Coturnix japonica: one gene and its partners. The protein of the gene in region 1 interacts with the protein of each later gene in a biochemical or structural test. Links are inferred from orthologs where the notes say so. Each region holds a gene or a part of one and is shown in the gene's direction. Other genes may lie near its edges.

Region 1 (7,041 bases):
CAAAATGGGATAGATTTAATTTTTGGTGGAATTCTAGTGTGTTTTGCACACATTTTCTGAGAAACTATATAAATAATGCACACCAGTAAAAAAAATTGTTACAGTATCTTCACCGATGCTCTTTACTTCTGGTTATGTTGTTGATAGTGTACTTTCACATAGCTGAAAAGATGTTACAACAGCACCTAAAAAAATATGTAACGTACATCATGTCTCCATGTCAGCATTGCTACATGACAGACAGCCTGTAGTGTGCCCTACTTAAAGGCCATGGTAGCGTTCTGCTATTGATGTGTTCGTGTTCTGACTGCGAGCTATATCACCATGCATATGACATTTCTCTCGGCGACATAACATGTTTGTATGCACTGCAGCTTCTCTGAATGGTACTAGTAATTGCTCGCTTTATTATACATAGTTTCAATTGTTGCTTCTTAAGTGTTTTTAATTTTTGCTTGTGTCTAGTGCTTACCTTGAAGAGTTTTGGAGTACTTCAATACAGACGCAGTTAGTATTATAATTTCTACCTGATATGAACACTGATATATGTTCAGCCCTGAAGCTAACTTGTATTATGAAACATGGAATGGGAAATTTCAGTATGTATATTTAAGCAGTTCAGGAATCCAAATCGTGTTAAGTGCTCTGTTTATTTGCAACTCTTAGTGCCAAGCCATTTATAGTTTCAGAGTGAGGAATGTAAGATCCGGTATGAAATACCAGCTCCTTAGTTCAAAGAAGAGTTTGTATAGGCATACTTCAGTACAGCTGCTTAAAACTTCATTGTTCCTTTCTTTTTGGAAGGATTACGATTCCATTGTGAAACTGGTGAAAACTTTAGAAAAACTGCCTACTTTTGACTTAGCTTCCCACCACCATGTGAGGTTACATTATGCGTTTGCACTGAACAGGTAAGACTCTACCTTTCCTACTACTGTCAAGTAGTAAATCAATACCACAAACTCAATGTGTGGCTGATAATCCTGGTTATAGGTCCCTACTGGAATCTTTGTATACAGGTCTAGGGTTCTCACTGTAGCAGTTCTGGGGACTCTTGACCTTCATGATGAGTTTGAGCTTCCTTTTCCTTTCATACTGCCAAATTGCTTTCCTCTTCCTTCTCTGTGAGTGTCTGTTTTTATTTATTTGTCTTTCCATAGATCTGCATCAGCATTTGAGTTTTTCACTTCAGTGTCTGAGTCTGTAAAAGTAGAATACACTTTTAACATCGCTATTGCCTGACAGCATTGTAGCATTTGTGCTGAGTTAGACATCCTCTCATTCAAGTCTGAGTTCTCCTATTGTCAGGAGACAGGAGAAAAACTTCCATGAAGTCATATTTACTGTGTTACAGTACACATTTTTTTTTTTTTTCACATTCTCCAATAAATAAATAAATAATGTGCAGTGTGTCACATACAGCAACATGCATCACTTCTTTGAGTTAAATGGGAGCTAGGCTCTTGTGCTTTTTTGCTTATATTGTGATTTTTCTCAGGAATCTGAAATACTGGCAATTGAGGATGGCATTAAAGAGGGAATTTTCCAGTGGAAATTGCAGATTTTCTGATCCCTTGGTGTTATCACAGCAAAGATTGCCCTCTGATGTTTAGAGGAGCAGACCAAGTGTCAGCAGGCAGTGCAATTCTCAGATATATGTAGGTTGCTCTAAAAGTAATGCCTCCTATTGTTTTCCATGGAAAGAACAACAGATACAAATAGCTCAGTAGCACTGTTTGATAGAGCAAATTCTCAGCTACAAAACAGTATTTTTCAATATCACTGTTAGCTGTGCATTTTCACCATGCCATGTTTGTAAAAAAATCTGCACCAGTGGAGGTGACCCACTGTCACCACTGCTGAAACACACCACCCACCGTTTCACTGTGCTCACATCTGCTGTTTGGTCTCCATCAACGTTCAACAACTGTCAATAAAGGTTGGTGGGTGCCATTGTTTCTGCATGAGGGAGTTCATTGGCACCCCTTTGCTATAGTTCCATGTCAGATACCATTCTGTCAGACTACCCCTCTGCTGCCATCTTTCACACAGCAACAACATGTAGCAGAATGTTGGAGGGAAGGCTCAGCCTCTACTGCCATAGCACCAACAGCAACATCTGATATCATGAGCCATCTTAAGAGAAAACAGGAGACAGTGCTTTTGGAGCAGCCTTTGCATTGCTTTTTATAAATAAGTATTGCATGATCTCCCTAAGGATTGCTCTCAAAGCTATTCTTACTGCTGTTACTGCTTTGCGCTAGCTGATCGTGAGGGAGAAAACATGTTTGGGGGCTTTTATAAAGAAGGTTTTTTTTGGTAGTGATGTTTTTTAATCTTTGTTTTAAACATGTTTATAAAATAATCCATTGCACCTAGGAGTGCATTTTACATATATTTATATATTAGTCTGTAATCATATCTTTATTTAAAATCATGTATTTAATCTTTAAACGAATAACTGTATATTCAGATTGGTCACAAAAAGGTATTCCTTGTTAACACTATTATTTTTTATTGCAATATTTATTTTTAATAGACGAAATCTGCCTGGGGACAGACAGAAAGCTCTAGAAATTATGATTCCTTTAGTAGAACAAGAAGATCAAGTAGCCTCAGATATGTACTGCCTGGTTGGTCGCATTTACAAGGACATGTTTTTGGAATCTGGGTTCATAGATACAGAAAGCAGAGACAAAGGGACCTTCTGGTGAGTAGTGTCTTCCTGGTCTATGTGTTTTTCTTAGCTTTAGAAAACATTCCTTTAATGAGAACATACTTCAACTCTTTTTCATTCCAAATATTTTGTGTTCTTGATGGTTATGCTAAGTCTTCTAATCTGGGCCTCGCTTACTTGTAAAGAATGAGAGACTTATGTTGTCTGTACGTCAGCTTCCATGAAGCTCTATAAGTTCTTCAGAGCCTTGGAAGTTGAGGTAGCCCTCATCACAGCTTATCTTTCTCCTCTCTGTCAAATGTGAATTCTCTTGTTTTCTGCATTACATTTGGGAATCTGGTCCAGATATTATTCAGGCTTGAATCAATAGGCGTATCTGCAGCCTGGTAGATATTTACCAGCTATGCTTAAAGGTTCTAAAGTATAACTGTGCTGATGCGTAGAAAGTACCATTTTTGTCTTTTTTTTTTTTTTTTTTTTTGGCTTTCTTGCTGATGAAGAATATAAACTCATGCTCAGAAAAGGTTTATTACCTCATCATCACCATACCATGTCTGCGTATTACAGTGGACCACAGTACAAATTCTTATGGTACTTGCCTCTAAAATGATCGTTCTTTTTCCTTTGGAATGTGCTAAAATGCCAACTTTTATGTGGAATAGATTAAAAAAAATTCTTCTGTCTCTTGTCAGTGTCAGGCCTTCAATTTCCAAAGGAAACATACTTGAAATTGTAACATTAGATACTTTTGCCAGAGTGAGCTGTTTTTTTCCGTTACAGTCCAGAAAGAGAATATAGGTAAATACTTGTGCATATACTCCATATCAAATCCTAGTCCTGCTCTTGAGTTCATCAGCTAACTGTTGAAGTAATTGCTTAGAACTGAAAGCTTGATTCTCCTTCTCTCGTTTCACTTTTTTTCAGTAACCTTCAGATTTGAGTTGCCTTTGGTGAAATACATAATTATTCACCATCTGCAGTCATAGAATACACGTACAATTTCTAATTGTTGGTTATGTTTTACACTTTTGTAATGCTTACTGGACTCTTAAAATATACTGCAATAGCAGGAATGCAGCATGTTATTTCCCCCCCTTCCCATTTCATAATTTTGAATTAAAGAATTTATCTAAGCCAAAGCTCCTGTGAAATTTTCAAAATAGTTGTAAAATAATGTTTTGTTTAATGTTAGCTGATACAAAAAGTAAACTGTAGTCCTTATCCGGTACTAGGCATCACCATAGACAAAACAAATTAAATGAACTTACGTCTGTGATAGTGTATCTTGCTTTTTCCTCATTTGTACTGCTTTAAGAACAGATAAACTTTGAGATTTTCAAACATAATCAGGTGAGTTTATGTGTTTAGTAGGCAGAATTACTTACTAGGATGTTTCACACAGCTGTTTTAACATGCTTTTAATAAATGCATCTGTCAGTCATGTTGCTCATCTACCTTCATGAGGTGCAATGATTGCAGTCATAACAGTTTGGGGGAAGGAGAACAAATGCAGCTCTTGCCATGGGTAGGACACTGACAGGCCAGCTCTTCCATAATCCTTGAAGTCTTTGGTCAGTAAGACCAAACTGAAATGATCTGGAATTTGACTGGAACCTGTCCTGGGTGCGCCAGTTGCATTTTGTATGTACTTTATGTTGAATATTGATTTGAATACTCGTGTCAGTCATATGGCAGGCTTCATATGGCTGAAGGGTTGAACCATAACCTAATTGGTGGCCCTTGGCTGGGAGCAAAGCTACTACCAGTGCTGCACCCTGGCCTCAGCGGGGGCGGAAGAAGGTGTGTGCGGGAATGCCTCCACAATTGTATTAGTTTATGTCGAGATAAAGTTTATTATCTTTGTCTTAGAGAAATTTAGTGAATTGCATAAGATAGGAATTTGGCAGCAGAACCAAAGTGTTAGTTTTGCAACAGCTAATGATGTCAGGGTACTTTGTGCTGTTAGAGAAAAATAAATGCAGGAAGTGTGATTTTTCTGACAACTGAAATGTGGAGTAAAAGGCATCTGTGATAAAAAATATGAGACAAGAAATGAAAGTCTGATTGTTAACTGACACTTTCTTGTTGCATACTGACAATGTAAATCAAACTCACCAATGCTATCAATGCTTCTTTCAAATCCTTTTACTGCTACTCATCTTATTCAGTGTCTGTATTGCAACATTTTCCTAAATATCAGCTTTCAATTTTTTGGAGCCCCTTATAATGGAATTATCTAAGCCAACCTCTATCTTTAGAGGAAGACTTCTAAACCTGACTGCTTTTCTGCAAGACTGATTCCTTCTGTGTCATGTAGGGCTTGTCAGTGTGCACCAATTGCACCTGTTGAATTTAAACAAGTTCAGTTAGTGGATGTTAATTGAAAGTGGTTATTTTCATTTGTTGAAATAATTACAAGTTTTTCATTTTTATTTTTGTCTGTGAATTTCTTGTTGATTCTTATTGTTTTTTCTTGTGCATGTTGCAAAAATTATGTCACGGAGGATGCTACTTGTCAATTGAAGCTTAAAGAAGCCAAGGACTGAGTGTAGCAGAAGAAATAATCTCTCTGATCCTAGGAAATAATTTCTCCATCCCCCGTGGTTAGGGAATATGGCCTTTTTTTGTTGCCTGTACGCGACGCTTTGTTTTCAAATCAGTGCATTGTTTTTTGAGGGCTGTTCATCAATTGCTTCTGCAGGCAATAGCTTTTTTTGTATGCCTAAGTTCATCTCTGCCTCCTTTGCCTATATGTTTAACATTGTTGACAGCATGCGTGTTTCCACCTTTGGATGATGCACATTGGAGAAGTTTATTTTATTTATAAAATCTGAAGTTCTGTATTTGTCACTGAAATAGAGAAATTTGGGTACTCATGCCAGAAATGAGGCATTTGTGTGTCACTCGCTTCTGTGTTTATGTATTTTGATATGCTTATGTCACTGGGGCAGATCCATGATCTAAAGTCTCAAGTTAGTGAAAATCCATAAGAGGATTCCATTTAAGAGAAAATTAAAGAGTCCATTAATAAATATAACTGAAACAGGTCTTTTAAAAGTTGATAATACTATTTTTTTTTATCTCTGTGGAAAAACTGTGAATCCAGTAAGATACTAACTGTGCTGGGGTGGATAACCAGGGTCTGTTCTTGTGTAAAGGAAAATGAAAGAGGATGCATATATAAGTAACTAACTCTTAAGTAAGTAAGTCATTCCTAAAAATAGACAAAAAGCACGTACAGAAAACAATATTTTTGTTTCCATGGATTCTTGCTATGTAAACAGAAGATAAGCACCTACAGAACCTAAAAGTATAATTATGTCCCTACTAGATTGTGTTATTTGGAAAGCAAACTTGTATGTTTGTTTTTTTCCAGGTTCAAGAAGGCGTTTGAGTCAGAGCCAACACTGCAGTCGGGAATCAATTATGCAGTGCTTCTTCTGGCAGCTGGACATTGCTTTGATACTTCTTTTGAGCTTCGGAAAGTTGGTAATTACAGCTTGCAAATTCATAGTGAACTTGCTTTCTAGTGAAAGTACGACACGATCCATTGTCACAAGGGGGAAAAAAATCTGATGGTTGCATATGAGTTCTTCGACAATGAGTATGTGAACATCTAAGTCAGTGTCCTCAACCACCACTGATCCCACCTGGCTGAGAGTGAGCACTGTCATGATGACCTGATTCCAGGATGAAGGTCTTAACAGGTTATCAGAACCTAGTGAAAACTGGCAGCCCTTTTTTGCAGTGATGTCTTTTTTTTTTTTTCTTTGAGAGCCAGAAGGAAGGAACGCCTTAAGGGGGAGTCCAGATCTGGGGAAAAAAATAATAAAAAAAATAAAACAAACAGAAAACACCTACGGATCAATAGGAAATACGGGCAAAAAAAAATTGAGTGGTCAGAATGCGCTTAGATTGAGATTGGGGTAGGTTAAGAGAAGAAAGAGCTACACTTCTCTTCAGATGCTGTTTTTGAGGTTTTTTTGAGCTTTGGTGGTCCACTTTGTGATTTTGATTGGTGGGTCTGCTGTATTTGAAGAGAATGCAAAGTCAAACTGGTTTAGAAGTAAGGTGTGTGGAGTATCTCTGAAAATAGTTTTCTAGATAAAGAACATTTTTTTGAGCTTGAAGCTCAGAGATGATTGCTTTCATGTGGATAATAGAAGTGGAATTGAAATTTTCTGGGATTAAGGCAGGTGATTATTTGGATGTGGTAGGCTCTGTAGAGTTGCCCCCAACTGTGTTTGCCTTTATTTGAGTGGACAAGATTTTTCTTTTTGGATTGGATAGAATGCTTTCATAGTCTACACTGAAATTTTAATTCTTGTGGCAGCATAAGTGGTTAAATAAAACAACCAACCAAA
Region 2 (7,473 bases), on another chromosome or scaffold:
GCACAGGTTTTTTAATTATTATTTTTTCATGAAGCCAAAAGTAGCAGGTTTCTATATGTTGACTTTAGCAAGGTTTTAACAGCAGCTGACCTGACTCTCAAGAAGATATGTCTACACTGGTGAAAAAACTGTACCTCAAGGGCTAATTAACAGTGACTGTTAAAATGGAAGAACATATTGAAAGTATTTTCCATTCTGACCCCAGTTCTCTTTGCCTGGATGATTCATGCTCAAGAGTACCTTATAAATTATGATGAGCAACACCAACACTAGTGAAGGAACAACTACATAGGGGATTTCAAAAGAGTGCAGAGGCATCGTGGTGAGCAAGCTGAACACTGGCAATAATAAAGGCAAATGCCATCCTGGAAAGCAGGATAAGCTGCAGTAGTGTGCCTAGACAGGGACAGTATTAAAAACAAACAAACAAGCAAATAAATAATGCAGATCATCAGAAGAAAGTCAAAGGAGGACAGTGGGGATTCTGGGATGCACAGGAAACATGAAAGAAGGCTGAAAGAATTGTGTTGATGCAGCCTGTAGAAGAGAAGGCAAGAGTGAGAAGGGGAAAGAAAACAGTCACCAACTGCCTTAGAGGTCATTTCAAAGACAGGAATTACTTGTATTTCATTGCTGTAGTGAACAGGAAGGGGTGTAAAGGATTTCAGCTCAGACAAAAAAGCTTAAGTTAGGCTTTCAGCTAATGTCAGGATAGTAGAGTGCCAGAGCAGATTGCTGGGGGATGGTACAATCTCCATCACTGGAGGTCTTTAAGAATAGGTTTCCCAAACATGTGTCAGGACAGGTATTGTTGATCCTCCCAGATTTGCAGGGTGAAACAAGAGAAGCAGAATAGTCCTTACCTGTGTAAACCACATGCAGGTGGCGTGAAGCAGGGATGGCAGCCAGCTGTTGGCTTTTCCAACAGGTACTGGGTCTATTTATTGTGACTTGTAAGATGTCAGCTTTGGGTTTGCACTCTTGGTTAGGGCAGAAGAGAAAGCTTAAGGAGAGGGAAGAGAAAGGAAGGTTGTGGATCTAGGGGAGATGTCTTCAGTGCCAGAACTGGACTGCATATGCCCCTCACTCAAGCCTTTGACTCTGTATGTAAGTTTGCATGGCTGAAAAAAGAAAGCTTTTCAAAAGCAGCATTTGTAACACTTGTAACACTGAAAGAAGGAAAAAAAAGAAAAAGAAAAAGAAAAAGAAAAAGGAAAAGAAAAAGAAAAAGAAAAAGAAAGAGAAAGAGAAAAAGAAAGAGAAAAAGAAAGAGAGAAAGAAAAAGAAAAAGAAAAAGAAAAAGAAAAAGAAAAAGAAAAAGAAAAAGAAAAAGAAAAAGAAAAAGAAAAAGAAAAAGGAAAAGAAAAAGAAAAAGCTGGAAGAAGCCTTGGGTGGGAGTCCTGAATTATTCTCTTTTGTGCTGCTTTTAAACCAGGGCTTATACTCAGATCCCATCTCTCCCAGTGTTGCAGCTGCATTGTTGCCATGTCCCCACTGAGCCACACCCTGACTTGACTTCCCATCTTTTCTTCAGCTTCCCTTATGGCATTTATCTTGCCTGGCAGCCTGGCATCTTGGCTCAATCTGGTTGCTGTCACAGCACCTGCCCTGCTTGCCTTGCTCAGCCCTGGGCTCTTGCTGTTGAGAATGCTGTCTGTCTGCTGTGTTAGGCTCCACTTGGGTGACTCCTCTTTTCAGAGGCTATGTGCAAAGACTCCTCTTTGCAGTCCTGTGTGCTCCCTGATGTTGGGGAAGCAGGGCCATAGTACTGGGGTCCCACTCTGGTGAGAGTGAGGAGCAGAGGATAAAGGTACATCTTCTGGAGATGAGTGCTTGTGCTGTTGCATGCAGCAGGGGCTGTGGTCTCTGTTGCAGAAGGGTCTGAGTACCAGCACTGATTTGCCACAAGAGATGGCACCATTGCCACCCGCGGTGCCTGTGCAGACCACATGCAGGAAGTCCTTGTGGGAAGCTCTGTGCGTGAGTGCTTCCTGCTTCTCACCCTCTATAGCAGCAAAGAGGATGGAATGTACGTGCAGCTTTAAGAGAGTTAGAAGTGATTCCAGTGGGAGCAGCAGCCAGGATAGGATGGGTTGGAGTCTCAGATCAAACCCAGCAAACTTGTCACTGACAGGTGTGTGCCTGCGTGCATGAAGAGACTCTCCAGCACTTGTCCAGGGAAGCTGTACCAGCGACAGGGAGAAAGCTGACTGTGGTCCTTTTGGTGTGGAAAGGATGGGGCTGAAAGGGCAGATGGTCAGGAACAGCTCTTTCATCAGTGGATCTCAAGTGATAAAGGAAGTCAATATTATTTCTGTGATGAAGAAACAGGGACTACTGCAGGTGAAAGAGGTGGGCTGGAAAGATAGCCCTTCTCTTTTGGGACAAATATTATTGCTCCTGTCCCTGGTGCATGGTGCTGTCCCTTAGAGTAAGAATGAAACTACAGATAGAATCAGAAACAAAGCAGATGCAATGTGCTGGAATGAACAGCAGCTAATGGAGGAAATAAAACGACAATGATGACAACAGTAGCAGCAGAAGGAGGTTGTTGCCCTGGCTGTAATGGAAAACACAGGACGAAGTTAAACTCTGCAGGGAAGAGGTTTCAGGTAAGTCATGAGAAGACAAGTTGGCAGGTAGATGCCAGTGCGAGGGAAAGGGCTGTGTGTTGAGAAATGTGGGGCTGCTTGGACAAACCGATAGCCCAATCTGAGGAGGGAGATGAGAGACCAGGGAAATGAGAAGGTTGTGCACCCCTGGTCAAGGAAGTTCTTCGGGTGGAACAGTGGGGCACACTGTGACATTGGGATCATGGCACACATGGGGCTCCTGGAGGGCACACAGTGGCCCAAAAGGGGATGACGGCCACTCCTGGTGGGAGTAAGCAATGTCTCCCTAGTGGGGAGCACTGCAGGAGAAATCAAGAGGGACGCAGCACAGGGATGCTCGGGGTGGGAACCGCGGACAGGAGACGGAGGCACCCGCTACGTACGGCTGCCACCCGCAGCCGGGCGCTGCCCCCCGGGGAAGGGAGTAGAGGTGGCTCCGAAGGAGGACGTGGGGGCGGGCAGGACACAAACGCCGAGCGGCCCGGCGGCGGGGAGGGGCCGCCCTGGAAGCGAGGAGCGGGGCGGGGGGCGGCAGACCTCGGGCCCAGCGGTCGACCTCACGGGGAAGGCAGCGGCCCGGGCTCGGCCCGCCGCGGCGGCGGAAAGTACTGGGCGGCCGCGGGCGCCCCGCCTGGGAGGGGTTAAGCGGGAGCCCCAGCCCGGGGGCGGACGGCGAGGCTCCGGCGCCTGCTATACGGCGGCGGGGCTCTAGGTGTCCTGCCTGGGAGGGTCCCTGCTGCATTGCAGCCTCCGCGCCGCTCCGTCTCTGGCGCACACAATGGCGACTCCCAGCCCCAGCAGCGGCTCCGGCTCGGGCGGCGGGAGCGGGCCGGGCCCGGGCGGGCCGCCGGCGCACGCGGCCGTCAGCAGCATGCAGGGTAAGCAGCCCCGCGCTAGGCCGCAGCCGCTTCCGGGCAGGGCAGCGCTCCCCGCTCTAGGCCTCGGCGCGGCCCCACACCCCCGGCTCCCCGTCCCGCTCCGCCTGCGGCTCCGGCGGCCTCGCAGGGCCGGCCCGGGGGCGGTGGCCGTCTCGTGGCGGCCCCGCGGGTCTCTCTGTGCCCGGCGCGGCCGCTCCGGGGCGGGTGGGGGGCGCTCCCACGGGGCGCGGGCGGGCTCCGCGGGCTGCACGCTAGCGGGGCGGGCGCTTCCTAGGGCTGCTGCCGGGGGCTTCCCCCGCGGGGTCGGCGGTGCCGGCCGCCCCGTGCCCCCCGCGCCGGGCCCTCCTCGGGCGGGCTGGGGCCCGCGGCCCGGCATAGGGACCCACCCCCCGGGGCGCAGGCCGAGGCCTCCCGCTCGCCGCTCACACGGGGCTGCCGCTCGGCCCTCCCGCCGTGCTGCCGAACCGGGCCGCAGCCCGAGGTCTCTCCGGGAGGACGGGCGGCTCTGCCCGCCGGGCGCTACGGCCCACCGCCGTCTCGGTGCCCTCCTCTGCGGCTCTGCGGCCCCGAGCAGCTCCCTGGGGAGGGGCTGAGGAAAAGACAGGCCGAGAGGAGCGAAACAAAGGCCGGGAGAGTCTCGCTCTGGCTCCCCTGTGGCGCGCTGCGCGTTGTGCCCTCCCCGGACCTCCTCCGTCCCCGGGTGGCAAAGTGCCGCAGGAGACCCCGGGCTGCGGCCGTGCCTTGTGTGCGGCGCTGCCCACATAGAACTTGGCATGGGGGGATCGGGCTGGCAGGAGCAGTGCGCCGGGATGCACCGCGGGCCGCTCGGACCCGAGCCCTGGGGTGGGTGGGCCGCAGCCCCCGGAGCGCTGCGTTCTGCTGCGGCTCCAAACTGGGATCCTCGCTGCTGCTCAGTGCCTCCTGGGTCTGCGTGTCTGTCAATGTGTGTGTCTGCAGACAGATGTTTAAGTAAAGACAGTTTAATGGTGAACTTGTGGTTGATTTTGTTGCTGTTGTTTTGTTTTGATGGAAACGTACGGTTATTACTGCAAGGTAATGTTGCCAGCCTTCCCATCTGCTCTGGCTGGTGGCAGAGTATTCTTGCAAAAGCCGTGGGTATTCACTTCTCAGAAAGTCGCTGTGAATGCCTTTGGAGTTCTCTCCTTTAAGTTACACCGCTAGAAAATACTCCTTGCTTGAGCAGCGTTTTAACTGGTGTCAGTGAGGCCACACAGAGCAGGTTTATGACTTTTTAGTTTAATAAGAGGATGGTGGTACTAAGGAATCTGTTTGCGCTTTCCTTCTTAGAAGAGACCAGAAGGGAAGGTTGTGCTCTCTGTGGTGATGGCAGAAGAGCACAGTTTGCTATAAGTCTGTTCTGTGCTGCTGGGGTAGGTGGCACCGATGTATAGGCTGACGGGGACCTGTTTGGGTGGAGAGCTGATTACATAAAACTACACAGTTTGGTGTCCTTGGAACCAGATGATGGATTTTTACTCTCTCTGGTTTCTGCTGTGTGAAGGTCCCATGTTTGTCAGACCACGGAGGTACCTGTTGGGTGCTGGGAAATTGATAGCATACATGTTTACAGCAGCCTTCAAAAACCACAGTCTCAAACCTCTTAATGTAATGTATATGATTTAAAAACTTGACTGAAGGTGCAGTTGTGCTAAGAGCAGAAATAGCCATCTTTCAGCGCTGTTATAACTTTTATATTGTGTCCTTTACTTCCACCTGACCCATATTTATGAATCATTGCTGTGAATCTCATGTATCTTCAGTGCTGAGGTTAGTTCTGTGCAGACACGAGGATCCGTGATGTAGTGTAAGTTTGCAATGACAGAAATATCCTGTGAGGGAGGGCAGTCGTTTCCTTTTTAGTTCCTTTAAAGTGCCTTTTTAGGTGTGAATTCATAGAGACAGACCATTTTGATGACATGCAAGTGTTTTCAGTGAAATCTAGTGTTAAACAGTTGTGTTTTTTTTTTTTTTTTTTCCTTAAGTGAACAGATATGTTGAGGTACCGTGGGAGGAGCTGAGGCCTAGGGACCTCCAGAAGTCCTGGTGGCAGTGAGCATGTGGCTGCCACAGCAGTAGAGAAGTCCTGAAGCTGGCAGGGAGCTCCTTATGAGGACTCTGGCTGCACAAGATGAGGAGAGCTGAGTCAGGAAGGGCTGTTTGGCTCTGCAGGTGGCTCTGTCTGGATCAGTGGCATCTGCACAGGTGCTGCTGCCCTGTGAAGTGCCACAGCCTCATCCTGTGTACTTCCCTGCTTTCCCTGGCACCGGCTCCCTATTGACACCAGTGTCTCTGCAAGCTGAGTGCTACAAACCAAATCAGCTGGAAGTGACACATCAAGTGTTCTGTCTTTGGGATGCCCAGCGTTTACTAGTGGTGGGGCTGGGTGTTGATGCAAGGAATGCTCAGGAATGTGTTGCTGGGTGGGGACAAAAGTAAGTAGGACTGCCTCAGTATTGGTTTAATTGGCTTAAGTGGTATGACAAGGTAGAGCAGGGAAGTCATTAAACTACAGAGTAATTATAGTAAGGGAAAAAAAAAAAAGTTTTGCTGAGTTAGTTTCCAGCATTCTCAGAGCCACCTTGTGTAACTGCTGCTGTGAGGGAGGCAATAGGAGCGAGTGGTTGGAAGAGTGGAGCCATTGCCACAGCTGGCATGGCCGCAGAGCACTTGCTCCCCTGACAGCACTGGTTTCTGGAGTCCTTCAAGCCTTGCAGTCAAAGTGTTGCTTCAGGTCTTTGTACTCTTCTTGTTCAGCATGTCTAGCTTCATTCCCATGTCTCCATGGCTGATGGTGTTTGCCATTGGTGCCCATGCACCTGAGAACTTCAATCCTTCCCAGAGCGTCCCCTGGCAAGTGCAGTTCGTAGCACTGTGTTCAGTGCATGGTTGACAGATCAGAGACAAAGGAGAGCTGGAATCTTAAATATTGAAAATAGGTTTTACTTCTCTTTTTTTTTGTTGGGGGGAGGGGGAGGGATAAATAGTGGCCTGTTTTGGTGCACTGGTGACAGATGGCGTGAGAAATTGCTTTCCCTCTTAGTTATGTGCAGTGGTAGAAGCCCAGGAACAGTCTTATATATTTTGTATCCTCATTGTACTGTGGATGAAGCAGAGGTTCTGTGGAAGTATGATATCCCACTTGGAGAGTGGTCTTAAAAAGTGTAAAAATGAAAACACAAGAACAAAACAGTAGTCTGAGCATTTTTGCATTTCTCTCCTGTGAAGAAAGGCTGAGGGAACTGGGCTTGTTTAGCTTGGAAAAGAGAAAGCTCCAGGGAGGCCTCAGTGTGGCCTTCCAGTATTTGAAGGAAGCTTATAAAAGGAGGGAGAATGACTGTTTATGAAGGTGGATAGTGATAGGACAAGGGGGAATGGTTTTAAACTGAGGCAGGGGGGAGTTTAGGTTAGATATTAGGAGGAAGTTTTTCACACACAAGGTGGTGACGCACTGGAGCAAGTTGCCCTTTGAAAAATTATGGTATAAAATTTAGAAATTTAATTAATTCAAAGGTGTATGTAAAATTTATTTCTAACAGAGCTGAGGAGTCAGTCACTGTATCTCCAGAGCCAAGTAGGAGCTGAAGGGCATGTGACTGTGTCATGCATCCATCTCCTGCATTCAGCATCCCAAGAGTGCTGGAGGCAAATCAGGACCTCCCAAAGCACTCGCTGCTTCTGGTGCTGCTGCCTCCATGAATGGAGGGAATGAGCTGGGCAGCTCCTGGCAGCAGGAGGGAGACAAGACCCTGGTGCTTCTGGGCTGATTCTGAACAGGGCACAATGTGGGTACTGCTTCTGTTCTGTGGTCAGAGCCAGCAATGAGTGGGCTTATGGGTGTGTACAGACAGTGGCTGGTGGTGGCCCTGGGGGCAGAGGGCAAGGAAAAGGCTGGCAGATAGACTTACTTCTTCAGGGAGGTGAGATGTTGCGGAGAAAGTGAGGGAAATGAGTATCTCTATACA
Region 3 (7,625 bases), on another chromosome or scaffold:
GAGAAGTTTTTGAGAAAGGGAAGAAAATAATTCAGATCTTTCAAAAAGTCTGTTTCACCAAGAATTACCTGGGATAAAGAAGAATGAACTCTGATGGAACCAGAACTAGCTTCTGCATGCAGTAACCCAATACTGTGAATCATCCCTCCTGCACTGAAGGACTGTTATGACAGATGGAGCTCAAAGTTATGAACTAAATGAATACCATGGACAATTTAAATGGGTGGCTCATAGACTACTGAAAATAAATGTGTGTGTATATATATTAAAAAAAAAAAAAAAAAAAAAAACAATAAAAAAGATAGGGAATGGTAATTAGGATGTGTAGAAATTGTGGGATCTGAGCATGATGTAAATGGTATGGAATAAAGGGTGGATATTGTCTTAGTTTCAGCTGGGACAGAGTGTCTGGAATGCTGCTGTGTTTTGGTTCTAGCAAAAAAACAATGCTAATAACACACGGATGTTTCTAGTTGCTGCTAAGCAGTGCTGTACAGAGCCAAGGCTGTTCTCAGCCAAGGGCTCCCGGTGCTCAGCCACATGATGGTTAAACCACAACATGGGGGCGCCATATGGAGGTCCTGCAAGAGATACCACACTTGCCTCTCCCATCTATGAAGATAACCCAAAGCTGAGGCTGCTGTTCCCTGTGGAGAGCACTGTGCCACCCCTCTGAGCTTAGGGACCCTGAGGTTGAATTAATCTCTGTGGCGCAGCACTGGAAGGAAAGGGGCTATGGGAACATCACATGCTGCTGATACAGCCCTGAACAGGTCTCTGGCTTCTGCATGCAAACCACATTGAACTGTACTAAAGCACCTGCGCCAGGTCATAGTCCTTGGCTTGCCCTGCACATCATGCAGAAGAAATGCCAGGAGGACTGACATCTCTTACCCTGCAGGAGATGGATGCACACAGACACAAAGGCAAAAGCCACAGGAGAGGTCAAGAATGAAGAGAAAAGCAAGGCAGATGGAAGGCTGACAAGAAAAACAAAGCAAAACAGCTATGTGAAAAGAGATGGATGTCAGGCACTCAGAAGCAAAGCTTGTACTTGTGCACCAGTTTGTAATTTGGACTGGAAGCAGAAGTGAAGAACTAGACCCACATTACCACCCATTGCTCCACAATAGAGGCTCCCTTCAAAAGGCACTGGAGAAAACATCATCCTCTGTGCAGATCAGACTTGATGTTAAGACAATGAATGGTGGGAGCCAGAGAAGCAGATAATGGAACTGCATGAGCTGGTTACTGCCACGTGTGGATTTTTGACTTCTATTACCAAGCTTTCAAAAAGCAGTTAAGCATTACTGCACCTTGAAACCTGCCTGCATCACTGTGCAATGCATCTGTGCTGAGCATGGATCCTGCACGCTGCTTTTAGCACAGAACACCAAGGGGAGTGGGCAGCTGCAGAACCCTGTGAACATCACTCATGGGATGTGCATTGGGATGGCACACAGAGGTTGTGGTGGCCCAGGGATGGTCCTGCTTCCTGCCAGCTTCCTGGAAGCACAGGGCTGATTCCTGGAAAGTACAGTATGTGGCAGTGCTCTCCCCCTCCTTTCTGTCATTGTTCAATGGCTTCTCCTCCGTCTTTCAACCAGATGTGCTCTGCCAAGTGTTCAAGAGAGGCTGGGTGATTGGGTACGTCACCAGTGAGAGCAGAGCTCTGTGTGCACTGCGCATATGGCTGGCAGACACCCAGCACACCCATCTAATTATTAAATATTTATTGCACCTTTAATGGGTCAGTTACAACAGAAGAGTGCTCCCAAGGAGCAGGCTGCAAGGAACGGGAAAGCACCATTAAAGACTGTCAGGGCCAGATGAAATGCAGCGTGGTAATGCACTGCAGATAACCCGTCTCTCCTGCGATAAAACGTGGTGCAGCTGTTGCTGCAGGCAGTTCTTCCAGCAGCTTCCTCCCTTTGGCAGCTGTCTGCACCATTGCTTAATGCCGGACGTGCCCAGCCCTCTGTGACATGGCCAGGCTTGGATCTGCTGTGAAACTGGCCCTTCTGCTGCACTGTGTGATTCTCACTGTATCCTCTGGTCACAAAGTCCAGCGCCACTTAGACACTGTATAATGCCTTGGGAGAACTGCTGGCTGACGGGCCAGGACTGGAGGGTTGTATTAATGGGGTTACATGGCAGATTGTCACCAGTGGGGTCCTGCATTGGCTCCATTTAAGGTCCAGTCTCTTCAGTGGGTTATCGGGGAGCTGAGTGCACACTGATTGTCCTCTGATGGTGCTGAACTAGGGGAAGCCGTTGGTTCCCATGCAGGAACTGGATGATCTTTGGGGTCTCTTACAAGCCAAGGGGGCTGGGAATAAAAGGAAAAGGAAGATATGGAGCATGGGCAGACAGGGGACAGACACACGGACATGGGGACAGGCAGACACGTGGCACGGCCAGCACACAGCCCGTGTCGCAGCACATGGGTGCTGGAGGCAGAAAAAAAACCCAGTTTTAAAACGATTTTAAAACAGAATCGAGAAATAAAACAGGAGGAGTCCCCCCATACGGGTTCCCACCCCCTCCCCTCCTCCAGGGCAGGATCCTGCCCGCCACTTCCTGCTCGGCGTTACGCAGCACTTTTTCTTACAGTCACACGGTTGGTTTTTTTTTTCTTTCTTTTTTTTTTTTTTTTTTTTTTTTATTTCTTTTTTTCCCCCTATTTTCCCTCCTCTCCCCCCTCTCGCTGCTCCCCCCAACCCCCGCCCTGTGAAAGAACTATAACGGCCGCTCCCCTTCCCGCCTCGTGACGTCACCCGCGCCATGGGCGGGAAGGGGCGTGGCCCGGCGATGGGCTGAGCGCTCAGTGCGCATGCGCGATGCAGCGGTGGCTATATAAGGGCAGGCCCGGGGCGGCGGCGGCAGAGCGTTGGTTTGGCGTTGCGGAGTGAGGACCGGTATAGACACAGCCGAGAGCGCAGCGGCGTGCGGGACGCGCGTGCGCGGGGACGAGCCCGTTGTCCGCCTTGTGACCGTACAGCACAGTGAGAGCCGCCATGGTGAAGAGCGTGGGCAGCCTGGTGAGTGCATGGGGCGGCACGGTGGGGTGTGGGTGAGGGGGGCTTGGTGTCGGCGCCGGGCCTTGGGCCGCGCTCCTTTGTGTGCGCTGAGCCTGAGGCCGCTCCCCAATGGCGGCTGCGCTCCGGCCGCAGGGGGCACTGCGGGAGCGGGTTAAACTGCAACACGTCGCCCTGACCCTTGGCTGTCAGCTGATGGCCGCGATCACAGAATGACCCGGGTTGGGAGGGACCTCAAGGATCATGTAGTTCCAACCCCCCTGCCTGGCAGGGCCACCAAACATACGCCTTTACTAGATCAGGTTGCCGGATCAGCACGGCCCAAGGGCGGCTCGGTGGGTGTCAGACATCGTGCTTATAGCTGGGGTCTTGTATTAAGGCTGTCCCAGCTATGCTGAGGGCGGTGGATTTCTTACGGCGTTGGTTGGTGGCCTCCATTTTGGGTTGCTGGGAATCCCTGCTGCATTGAACCTCTCCTTGCCACCTGTTTTCTCGCAGCCGGCCCTTGGAAACTGAAATCTGCTAACATAATGCTGCCTGCTGCGCCCAGCAAAGTGAGGCCGAGGCCTCAGGGAGGCACCAGATGGGTATTTGAAAAGTGTTTATGGGCTTTTCCCCTCCAGAGGACTAAGGAAAATATTGCTGAAAAAGCTGTGAGATCCTCTAACAGCTGTAGCCACGTGGACTAACAGGGGGAGGTGTCCATTCTGATAATGGAGATATTTCTGTATGAATCTTATTAATCCATACTTACTGCAGAAAGACTAGAAGTCAGAAAGGTCAGCCAGTTTTCCTGCTGTATTCCTTACTTCAGGGATATTAATGTTTTCTGAGGAAAAAATACCAACACTTACCCCTTGCTGGGTATCTCAGGGGTAACACCGTTGGACCTCGTGTCTCTTCTCAGGCTGCCTGTAGCAATTTTAGCTAATTCTAGGGATGACTCACAGGGTAACGCCTGGCTGCAGCTGGAGAGCAGTGCTCAGATCTCCAGTGGTGTATGGGTTGTGATCTGCAGGAAGTGCCATGTCCTCCCACTTTGCCCTTGTTCTGTGCAATATTGCCCTGAGATGTGTGGTCATATGATCAGCGCGTCCCAGGGATGGCCTTCCTCATGCAGGGTACAGCAATCAGTCATTTGGACTGAGGAAAATAGTCCAATTGGTGGGTGCAGGAGGTAGAATTAATATTAATAAGGCTGTTACAGCACTAAGTTGTGAGAATATATGCCAGAAATCAGGGATTTGGAGGTGGGAGTGAGTGAGGCTCTATTTAACAGCCTTATGGTTTTAAGTAACCACTGGGAGCAGATAGCATGGACTACTGTGTATGTGAACGCTGAACTTTGCTGGAGGCAGTGTTGTGCTTTAGAGACTGGGATGCAGGAATACACCCCACATTAGCACAGTGGTGGAGAAGAAGAGAGAGAGGAAGAACTTCTTGCTGCCACCCTTGCCTGTGTGTTGGATCAGCATCCTCTGCTTGCTCTGCCTGAGATACTTGTTTGTTTTTTAGCATGCAAATATTTCTTTCCTTCAGTGCCTTACACTTCTGTTGAAACATTTGCTCTTTGAAAACAGCGGCACATAAGGAGCTCTGAAATGCAAAGCGTGATGTCCAGAAATGTCTCTTGTAACAAAGTGCAACAGAGATATCTCTGTTAACCTTAAATGTTAGTTGTTACTGGCATAGACTGTGTAGCTTTGCATTGAGTACTGGAGTTACACCCCAATTTACTTGGCATAATAAAATATTTATATGATGAAGCTGTTGCTCTAGGAAACATGCTGTAGGGTAAACCACGCAACATCTTGATTCTAACCATTGCTTGGGAAAGGTATCAGACCATGAAACTGTGGAAGTTTGTCCTCAGATTCTGAGGAATCCTAGAAGAAAATGGACGACATCCTATTAAATTGGAGATTAGAACTGAATGCTAAGGACCGTCAGGATCACGTTAGAAGTGTAACATTACTCAGTTTAGCTTACGGTCTCAGTTCATGCTGAGTTCTACATAAACTTCCACAGTTCAGTGACTGAGCATTGTGATGTTTCATAATTGATACTCATAATTCATCAGAAGACAGTGGGGGATGCAGTGCTGATGGAGCTAAGGGAAAGCTGACTTGGGGGTTAGTCTTGAACCTTTTGCAAATGAGGGGGGAAATCCTTAATGTTTTGATTTCTTTTTTCTTTACAGTCCGAATTTGAGGCAGAACTGAAAGCTGCTGGTGAGAAGCTTATAGTAGTTGATTTCTCTGCCACATGGTGTGGACCATGCAAAATGATCAAGCCATTTTTCCATGTAAGTAGCTTTTGTCTTTCACAGTAACTTTAAGTATATAGAAATACTTCTGTGCAACTTCTAATATGGTGGAAACCTTCTTTGTCTATGGTGTGTTTTCCTGAAGGAGGAATCTTAGAAGGATATGATAGGTAACTATTGAATAAAGCACTTGGATACACAGCGGGGAACTAACACACTGTAGCGTTTTGTCTGTCCTGGTGTGCTGATGCATCAGTCTGTAGGGACCTAGCTGGTGCATTTCCACAAGAACTGGCAACAGTGGAGTTGAAATAATGTATATATGCTGGCTCTGATTATTTAAACTGCGTTCAGTTAAGCTGTAGCATCTTTATGTGTTGAGGGGGAAGCCATAAGGGAAGGAAAGGCCTTTCCCTTATGCTTAGGTGCTTCAGCAGACTCTTCCAGGGGATGGAGCTGGAAATTAATTTCTGGTCAGTAAAGCAGCTGCTGTAAGGTAACATGTTAAGTCTGACAGCACCAGTTTCTATGAATGCATCTTTTTGAGAACTGGCTTTCCTGGACCTGTAACTACATAATTTCATTTTTCATTCTAGAGTCTGTCTGACAAGTTTGGTGATGTGGTGTTCATTGAAATCGATGTGGATGATGCCCAGGTAAGGTCCAAAGGGATAGTAGGTTTGGAGAACCACAGAAGTGGCAATGAGTGTCCTTGGATTTATTGAAACAAAATGAGATGGGCACCACCAACTAGGCAGAAAAGAATGAATGTTTAGAGTACATGAGAAGAATGAACTGCTTTAGTTATCTGCACTGTCTTAACCCCTATGGCACACATGAGATAACTTGGGAACACTGGTGTTCTGCCCTTGAGACTTCCTCCCAAAGCCTTAATCTGTTTTGATGCAATCTCCCCTAAAACTAATAGCTTACACAAGTACAAGACTGTCTGGTCTCACCACTGCCCTTGGCACTGTTTCCTCTTTCATGTGTTGAACCATGTGTAATAAGATGTCTGCTCTATGGCAGTTTCAGTAGTGTAGAATGAGTACTTAAACAATTTCAGGCTGAAACAGCAACATTGCTGTAGTGTTCTTGAGTACTCTCCAAACACAGTGTGGATGCAGTAAACACGTGCTCTTATTGTATGAATTAGATTCTGAAGGGAGGATCTTTTAGGTTTGTTTCAGAAAGATGCTAATATTGCACTGCCTTTGCAGTGCTGGACTAGAAAAGATGTTTTTCTTCTTTTTGAACAGTGATGACTTTGTCCAACTTCCTTATCAAAAGGAAACCAGTGGGTTCTAAATTCTGGTGTCCTTCAGACATGCACAGCTGAAGACTGTTTTCTTTCTCTTCCAGGATGTTGCTACACACTGTGACGTGAAGTGCATGCCAACATTCCAGTTCTACAAGAACGGAAAGAAGGTAGGCTTCTTTTTTTATGGAACTTATTTTCCTGGAAGAGGCAGGCTAGGCCACATAGTCTGCTTTCTCTTAATAATGTATCTGGGTCACAACTGGCACTGGGACACTTCTAAGAGCAATTAAATTAATCTTAGTGCTACAGCAAATACAGCATAGACCAGATGCAACTGATGAAGCAAACTCTATTAATTAGACCTAGTGAACTAAGTCTTGCAGGTCAGTCTTATGGGCAGATCTTCATGATGAATTAGTGAGGCTAAATGTGCAAGACTGCCCTAATGCTCTGCTTTTGCTGATCTGTTAGCATTCATTCTCTGTACACAGTTCACATTCAAGCAGGGACGTGTCTATATGTGTAGAATCCCTCCTGACATCAGTTAATAATCTGAATATACTCCCATCTGAAACCACTACTTGAGTGTTTTCACACAGACTGTGAAACCTGTGGAGGGACCCCATGTAGGTTGCAGGACTGAACAGAGCCCCTTTGCATTATATGCTGTGAGCTGGATAGATGGGATACAGAGCAGGTGCAGGGACAGGCTGCTCCAAGCAGTTCTATCAGAGCTTGATAGGACAAGGTGCACAGCAACACAAAGTGGCTTTCAGCTGCTACTGCCAGGAGGTGGCCTCCAAAATCCTTCTGAGCTGCAATTATGACTTTTACACACCACTGATACAGGATTAATTGATTTTTCTCTTTTTTTGTGTGTGTCATTTTGGGCCTGAAGAAATCTTAGAGGTTACAGAGTTAAATAAACCCATATTTCTGTGTGTTATGCAACCAGATGTTACGTGGCATTGAGTGCAGCCCTTCTGAAAATTGTTCTTTTTGCAGGTGCAGGAATTCTCTGGGGCCAATAAAGAGAAGCTGGAAGAGACCATTAAAAGTC
Region 4 (7,707 bases), on another chromosome or scaffold:
CCTCAGATGCTGGATGTTCCAAGTTGTTTTGGTCAAAACCAGGATGTATAACACTTAAAGCATTTTCAGTCACAGCTGGTTGTGTGTGTGTGTTTTGTGGAAGCACATCAGGAGAATTTAAACCTTTCCTCGTGAAAGGAGAATTGTGAAAGAAGAAAGAATCCAATTGTAGTGATATGCAGAATGTAAAATAGCAGAGCTGCTATGGAGTTAAAAGCTAATTTAAATGTTATTACTGATACTGTTTAGAAAATGTTTCTAAGTGTTAATATATATATATAGGCCTTATAAAGTAATTATAACTCCTAGTTTTCATAGCTTCTGTTAATTTAAACCTCTTAAAGCTCAATTGCTAATAATGCTGACAAAAAGAAAAAGGATATCTAGCAACTTGCTTATCTTTTTTTTTTTGTTTTTCCCCTCAGTGACCCATATGTGAAAGTGACAGTGTATGATCCAGTGAATGGAGTCCTTAGCAGTGTTCAGACAAAAACTATTAGAAAGGTTAGCTTACTTGTCTTTGTGGATGTGGGTTTTATTTCTTTCATTAAACTCTGAGGAAGAAGTTAAAATGACAAGAAATATGAGGACTAACATCCCTCCTGAGTGAAAGACACGTTCTGTAGTCTACTCTGTTTTTCTGTTTATGGCATTATTTAAGTATTTTCCTTTCAATAAATTTGTTGTTGTAAGCAGTAAAGATGATAAGGTAAGCAGTGACTCAAAACTAAGTGGTTAATGGAAATACTGGATTGCTTTGGTTGTTTTAGGTCCTTAACGGTGTAATAATCTGTCTCTTTCTATACATCTTTTCTGTCTTGTACCAAATTGTGTAGTTCACCTGAGCTGTGATACTTCTGGTTTCTCTAGGATATCTGCTGACAAAAGTCAATGTTAGAAGTAATAATTTATGGTAGAACTATAGAAAATGAGAGACTATACATGAGAGAGAAAATAATCTTCCAAATGACTGTTGGTAATGACTGTGATTTGTGTTATGAGCTGACCCAAGGGTTCTTCTATGTTTCTGTTTCACCTTCATGCTGACAATTGTTATTAAGCATGTATAGTATATTTAGAATAGGCACCCTCAAAATTGATGTGTGGTTGATCAGAGAATGTTAGTTTTGGTCCACCTGTGCCTGGTGTGCCTAGATGGCATTGTTAAGAGATCTGGCATTTGCTAACAGTTCATAATTTAGAATTAATTTGTGCTTACGTGTAAGCAATGCAGATGGTGGATATGGACTTGAGAGGAAGCAGTGAGTGTTACTGAAAATATACAGTAAATTAACTGATTTGCATGGTAGGATGGGCTGCCTTCTGCATCCCTGATGTTACCCAAAATCTGGAAATACATGTGTAAATTGTATCATCAATTTTGCCCAGCATTAAATGGCATAAGACTTCTATGACTTTTATCTGTAATAGCAAGATTAAAGTTTCTGTACTTGAAGTAGGTTGTTACAGGAGATGAAATAGATGTGACACGTGAAAGAAAAGCAGAAAAAGACACTGGAAAGTTGTTGGTACTGTAACCAATGTTGTCCTTTTCCTCCCTACATACAGTCCTTGAATCCAAAGTGGAATGAAGAACTTTTATTTCGAGTAAGTATTTGAGGTATTTTGCGTTTGTTTTTTTTTTTTATTATGTTATTACCTGAGTTGGTTGTTATGTTAATAATCATCTTTTTTTTTCTTGCAGCACCATTTTAAACCAGAAATGCAGAAATAATTAATGTTCAAAGGCTCATGGACTACTTTGCTTAGCAGTACATCTGTTATTTTCAAGACTGAAAATTTTACTGTAGCACAAATACAAATCTTACCTTCTTTGTTCTATTAATGCACAAAAACTTGGGCATGAATTTATCAGCCAGTTTTGGGATGGCAAGATTTTGGCTAATTGGTGCCAATCGGTGGTGTTGCATAATGAACATAGTATTATTTAGATTTTAGGAACAAAATGTAGATTCGATGTTTAATTTTGGTCTTATTTGTCCAACAAGCGCACAGTCAGAATATGCACTGTATTGTTGAGCGTTTCAGGAACTGGGAGGTCCCAGTTTTGTAAGCGACTGCTGAAGAACTCTTGAGTTCTGAATTTGGAATGTGAGAAAACTGCTTTTGTGTAGCATGCCCAAGTGATGATGAATTTCCCTCCTCTTATAAACAACCCAGATCTTGAATAATGAGGAAATTGTGACCTTATATAAAGTAACATCAGTTTAAAGTATCATCAGTTTCCAGTCAGAGCTTTTCTGCAACATAAAAAAATGCTGTACTCTTGGATATCTTTATATGTATGGTTAGTTCTAGAAAGCAATTTTTTTTTTTATTCCCATCTGATAAACTTATTAGATGGACTGCTTGGTCTTGTGCCATTGGTGTTATTTTAATTCTTCTCACTTTCCTTGTTCTCTTTCAAGCATTACTATTGCTTTCTCTTTTTTCTTATTGCTTAGAAGCTATATCTTCTCATCCTTCTCTTTTATCAGTGCTATGTAAGGAGGAAGAAGAAGGTCATTTTCTTGCATTTGTTTGCTATACCTTTTTATAATAATTTTTTGACTGATAATTGTTTTAATTTTTTCTTGCTGTGGCTTTGTCCAAGACCTCTAGTTTGGCTGATAAAGATAGACCATTGGTTTAAAATCTTCCATAGAAGTACAGTGTGTGGTTCACTAGTTTGCCATCCCTAAACTTAATCCTAAATATTTTTAGGTTATGCATCTCAATGTTAGAAAATACGTTTTGGTCCTTTTAGACCTCTAGTTAAACCAATTTGCTCTGAGCCACTGTTATTGGAAGAAAACAATTTTAATCTGGATGTCAGCATCATTTAGTTTTTGCTTTGATATACGTAAAAGCAATGATACATTTTTGAACTCTCATACCAAGTTCTGTGAGAAACAGCCATTTTAATTTTGACTTTTTATTATTCTCCCTGTGCTTATACAGAAGGAAAGAAGTATCTCATTTGTCTTAATGACACAACCAGTGGAATTCAGCAGATATTTTAACTACTCTCATCTTTCTTTTTCCTAGGTTAATCCTCAGAAACACAGACTCCTTTTTGAAGTGTTTGATGAAAACCGTTTGGTAGGTCCTTTTCTATTAATATTGCAATTTAATAAAGGCTTCAGTGAAAATAACTTGATCTGGATTCAATGTTCAAAATTAAAATAATAATAATAATAATAATAATAATAATAATAATAATAATAATAATAATAATAATAATAATAATAATAATAATAATAAACTGGAAAAAACAAAAAGAACAACCCAAAGGAAGACCTGATTTGTTTACTTTTCTGCCACTACCACACTTAGATGTTCTGAAGTAATGAGGCCTTAACTCTGAACTTCTAACGTGCTTAACTCAGAAGCATTTTTTCTTACATTGCTTCTCCAGTGCTATGACCAAGTGACACTGAAAGCTCTCTACTGAATGCTTATTTTTCTTACAAAGCAGCATTGACAGTGTAGATGTTTGTATTCATGGGGGCATTTTTTTCAATAGCATGAAGGAGCAGTGGGACAGAAATGTGTTTCTTTGTCAACAGGCAGACACTGGAGTGTTACTTTGTTATTCACTGAATGAGTTATCGTAAATAAAGTGGGGATAGCTTGTGCATTTGTGTCCTTGGTGAAATTCTAACTCCTGACCATGTTCTTGTTTCCTACATGAGGAGTCTTCCTTTTTTATTCTGCCCATATGCTCAATTGTAAATTACAGAGGCTAACATTTGTGTTGTAAGCCAGTTTAACAGACATTCTATCTCAGTGGAATATATACCTTTCCAATTAAGTTCTACTGAAGTAGAGACTTGAGTGGTCTCTAGCTTGCACTTCAGACACTTTTTTGCTCTGTTAGCCATTTTGAAGAATATCAATGCCTGAGGAATGTGTTAGCAGCAAAAACCCTTTCATTTTTTCCTAATGCTGTCTGGATTGTCAATAATCTGTTGTACCTTTTATGCTAATGGTTGAAAGAATGGAAATGCCTGCAAATCGAATTCTGATTTCTTTTGAATAATTACGTCTAAGAATGGAGAGCTTTATTTCTTGGTTGTAGCCATCACACAATAACAAAGTCATTTTATTGCTGGCTGGTGGTGGTTCTTGTCCCAGATATTTCAAATATTTAAAGCAGAAACTTTAAATGGAATCACCAGAACTTGTGGTTGACGTGTCAGGATGCTCAGAAGTTAGTCTCAGAATGCTGTTAAGGGCTGCAGCGCAGGCTTGAAGTACAGTCCATAGTCTTTGGAACCGCACTGCCACCAGGTGGAAGTCAGGAGGCATGACTAGAAAATCTGAGGCCCAAATTAAGGGGAAAAAAGCAGAGTTTGGTTTCCACCAAGGGAATTCCTTGTTGTTCATTCTCTAAGAGAAAGTAGATGAGTTGTTTGACCTCTTTGCTTGTGGGAAAGGAATCAACAAGACATCTTACTGGCATCGGTGTGAAACTATGCTTTGTTTCCTTTATGTGACTGAGTTTGGAGACCAAAGCAGCATGACCTAATCACTCACTATGTAGTTCTGTGATAACATGTTTTTACATCTTTCCTATCTCCTCATTCAGTCAGTGGAAAACGCTGTCTTCCTATTTCTACATAGTTTGCTTTCTGTTAAATGAACACTAAATTTCCATCCCATGTGTCTTGAACTACTTCAGTTGGTCAAATCATTACTTTTGCTGTGGTTCTTGGGAGACTGACAGTCTTGTTCACTTCTGTTGTCTTCTCATGTCAAAAAATCATGGATGCCTCATGATTTTTCACAAGGATATGCACGCAGCTGTGCTCAAAAGGTGTTTCATCTTCGGTGATTATAGTGGGCTTGTATGGCAATCAGTCATTCTTTGTTCTGCCTGCTGGCCAACTGTTTAAAATGTAGATGTGAGTAAGTTGATAACACTGACATTCTCTTACAGTTGTGGGACTGTCTTCATCTTTGTAGAGTTCTGTCCCACGTGTTTTAATTCCCATTAAATTCTGAAGAGAAATTGAAAGCTTGAAATTTCTTCTTGTTTTTAAGTAATGTTGCTTTCCTGAAAACTTGGTTCAAAAATCCTCTTCAAAGTTTGGCATAAATTGGAAGTCCTGCAGGACTGGCTTTATCACCAATACGTCTTAATGACAAGAGTATATGCAGTAAAATTGTTGCAGGTTTTTGTTGCATATGAAACTGACATGTTAGGAACTGTGCTACTGATAGGTGTATTGTTGGGACAGATAGGTTCTTGAAGAACTGCATTGTTTCCTCTTCATTCGCATGGTTAAGGGTGTGTGCTTTTTAAAATATACTGCTTGTAGTTCAACTGTAACTCTTTTAAAACCATGACCAAAAAAGCTTTTATGGTATTTTACTTTTCTTCCTGCTCCAACACGTAACATTAGAAGAAATCCAGCTGGTGAAGCATAATGGAATAGACGAACTATTGTATTTGTTGGCTTTTATGAATAAGGTAGTATTCATTTACTGCTGCATTCTAATCATGGAATTCAGGTAATGGAGTTTAAGTAAGCCCTGGAGTATAATTAGAAAACAAATTTGTTGCTTGCAAATAGAGTTCTGTGAATTGGATTCTTGGCTCTTATTTGGGAAGGAGGTTTAAATGTTAATTTTATTACCTTCTAGCTTAAAATACAGCAAAGGTTAAATAAATATGGAGCAGAAAAAAATCTAGTAGTGTGACCTATAAAAGTATAAATGGCCTAGTGTTCTTCTCTGTTTGCGCTTTTTCAGCAGCACTAAGTAATTTCATGCTAGTCTGGTACCTTTTTGTACTGTATGTATGTATTTATACTGTACATATGGCTTCTGTATTCATAAGTACATTCGTATCAAATATGTTTCAAAAAAAAGAAAAGAAAAATAAAACCCACACAAAAAAGAAAAAGAAATATTGAAAGGCAAGATTGCCTTTTTTCAGAAGTCCCACTAGATGCCAGCAAAGGACCTTTCCAGATGATGAGACAGCGAAATGTTTGTAAGATCTCTCAATCCTGTTATTCTTTCAAGAGATGACAGTGTATTAGTTGCTTTCTATGCTCTTCATTTTGATCAGTTTACTGAAATAAAACCAAGTTAGTAGTTAACTATGAATGTAGAAGACAGCTTATATATATTTATTCAGGATAGCTTTCTTCTGTAATTGTGCTCACTGACCATATTTATCGTCGTGCATAATTCTCTCAGTGTTCTGTAGTTTATGTAGCTGGGCATACATTTGCATGCCATATCGAACTGTAATGAATGTCCGCTTATTCTGGGCTTCCAGCAAACAAGATGGTACTTTGCTTTGCACTGTAAGAATATTTTGTTTCTTTCTACCTTCAACAGCTGTAATTTGGAAAGGTTGAAATATATTATTTAACATGGCAGTCTGGATATAAGCACTGAATTATTAATCAGAGTATCTTGTTGCACTTCGAGTTTAGAGGCGTCTCACTAAAAAACATTAACTAATTGGTAGGAGACCTTTTCACTACGTGGAAATCTTTGCAAAGAGTGATTGGTTAAACAGAATGCAGATTGTTAGGTAATGCCAGGTTTCTTTCAAGTTTTGTTTAAATAGCCTAGAAAAACTTTTTTTAAGGAGGAGGGTTATTTTGCTGGTTTATGCATAAGTCAGACCTCAGCAGTTTGCTAGCATGGCTACTATTTGGAAATTCAATCCTAGACTTGATACTCAATTATATGGGATTTCATTCCTACCAACTTCCTGTAATTCTAAACCTATGGGTAAAAATATTAGTAGTCATACGCTGCTGGGGAAAGTACGGACACATTGACTCAGCTAGTGCAGCTGCAGCAGAAGCTGCTGTTTTAAACTTGGAAGTGCTGAGAGGTTATTATTATATTCATATATGCAAATTACAGAAGGTATAATCGAAACAAGGTTGATAGTGTTTGTCAGTACGTTGCAGCTGAGGTCGCTGGAATGTAAGTGCTTTATAAATGAATGCTTTCTGACTGCGAGCAATCAAAGACGGTCCAGAAACTGCACTTCAACAAATGGCTGACTGATTTCAAGAGGTACAATATCTTTTTTCTTAACACTACTATCCTGTAGAAATTAGGACAAAGCTTGCAACTTCTTTTATGGGCTTTTGCTGTTGTGATGCACTAGCTCCAGGTTCTGTGCAGCTGCCTGTAAACTTTCTGCTGAAGGATCTTTGTGGTTTTAATTTGCTAATATGCATGGAAATGAGAACAAATGGCACGACGGTTAAGACTGCATTTTGCAACCCAAAGAAGGAACACGGATCTGTTACCGGAAACCTCCGAAGATGTTTTGAATAGTAACAATCAAATGTACTTCAAAAAGGCACAGAATTCTGAACTTAATGGTATACAAATGAAGCTGGCTTCTAGACAAGTTGCTTGTGCACCTGTAATGCAGCAAGTAATTAATCAAGAGGGAAATGCAGCTATTTCTTCACTGCAAAAAAAAAAGAGCACGTCTCTGCACATTTCTCTGCAATCTAGAAGGCATAATGAATGTTTTCGGTCTGGTGATGCTGCAGCTGCTGGCGAAGATGCTTCATTCATCAGTATTTGTAATGAAGGAAATTATGGCATCAGAACTGTGGTTGATCATCAAGCTAACGATAGCCATCTGAGCAATACTGCTGTGTGCATCGGCAGTCTTAACAGTATTGCAGCCAGTGACAATGGGTCCTTCAGCAGTGC

What was found.
Region 2: of the proteins of MAP3K5 (region 1) and MAP2K4, one has a biochemical effect on the other in vitro, tested with the Homo sapiens proteins (3 studies listed by BioGRID). The link is inferred for Coturnix japonica from reciprocal best matches to the Homo sapiens genes MAP3K5 and MAP2K4.
Region 3: the proteins of MAP3K5 (region 1) and TXN form a complex in vitro, tested with the Homo sapiens proteins (3 studies listed by BioGRID). The link is inferred for Coturnix japonica from reciprocal best matches to the Homo sapiens genes MAP3K5 and TXN.
Region 4: the proteins of MAP3K5 (region 1) and NEDD4 form a complex in vitro, tested with the Homo sapiens proteins (2 studies listed by BioGRID, with this or other methods). The link is inferred for Coturnix japonica from reciprocal best matches to the Homo sapiens genes MAP3K5 and NEDD4.

Annotation. Positions count from the first base shown.
Region 1 is NC_029518.1:49,742,344-49,749,384, forward strand, and holds part of MAP3K5 (mitogen-activated protein kinase kinase kinase 5), read left to right. Parts: intron 1-804; coding exon 805-911; intron 912-2,539; coding exon 2,540-2,710; intron 2,711-6,053; coding exon 6,054-6,166; intron 6,167-7,041. UniProt on the Homo sapiens protein: Serine/threonine kinase which acts as an essential component of the MAP kinase signal transduction pathway. Plays an important role in the cascades of cellular responses evoked by changes in the environment.
Region 2 is NC_029533.1:617,566-625,038, forward strand, and holds the start of MAP2K4 (dual specificity mitogen-activated protein kinase kinase 4), read left to right. Parts: upstream 1-3,144; 5' UTR 3,145-3,390; coding exon 3,391-3,490; intron 3,491-7,473. UniProt on the Homo sapiens protein: Dual specificity protein kinase which acts as an essential component of the MAP kinase signal transduction pathway. Essential component of the stress-activated protein kinase/c-Jun N-terminal kinase (SAP/JNK) signaling pathway.
Region 3 is NC_029547.1:59,050,562-59,058,186, reverse strand, and holds the start of TXN (thioredoxin), read left to right. Parts: upstream 1-2,816; 5' UTR 2,817-3,017; coding exon 3,018-3,041; intron 3,042-5,238; coding exon 5,239-5,343; intron 5,344-5,900; coding exon 5,901-5,960; intron 5,961-6,666; coding exon 6,667-6,732; intron 6,733-7,570; coding exon 7,571-7,625. UniProt on the Homo sapiens protein: Participates in various redox reactions through the reversible oxidation of its active center dithiol to a disulfide and catalyzes dithiol-disulfide exchange reactions.
Region 4 is NC_029525.1:6,716,385-6,724,091, forward strand, and holds the start of NEDD4 (E3 ubiquitin-protein ligase NEDD4), read left to right. Parts: upstream 1-3,270; 5' UTR 3,271-7,231; coding exon 7,232-7,707. UniProt on the Homo sapiens protein: E3 ubiquitin-protein ligase which accepts ubiquitin from an E2 ubiquitin-conjugating enzyme in the form of a thioester and then directly transfers the ubiquitin to targeted substrates. Specifically ubiquitinates 'Lys-63' in target proteins.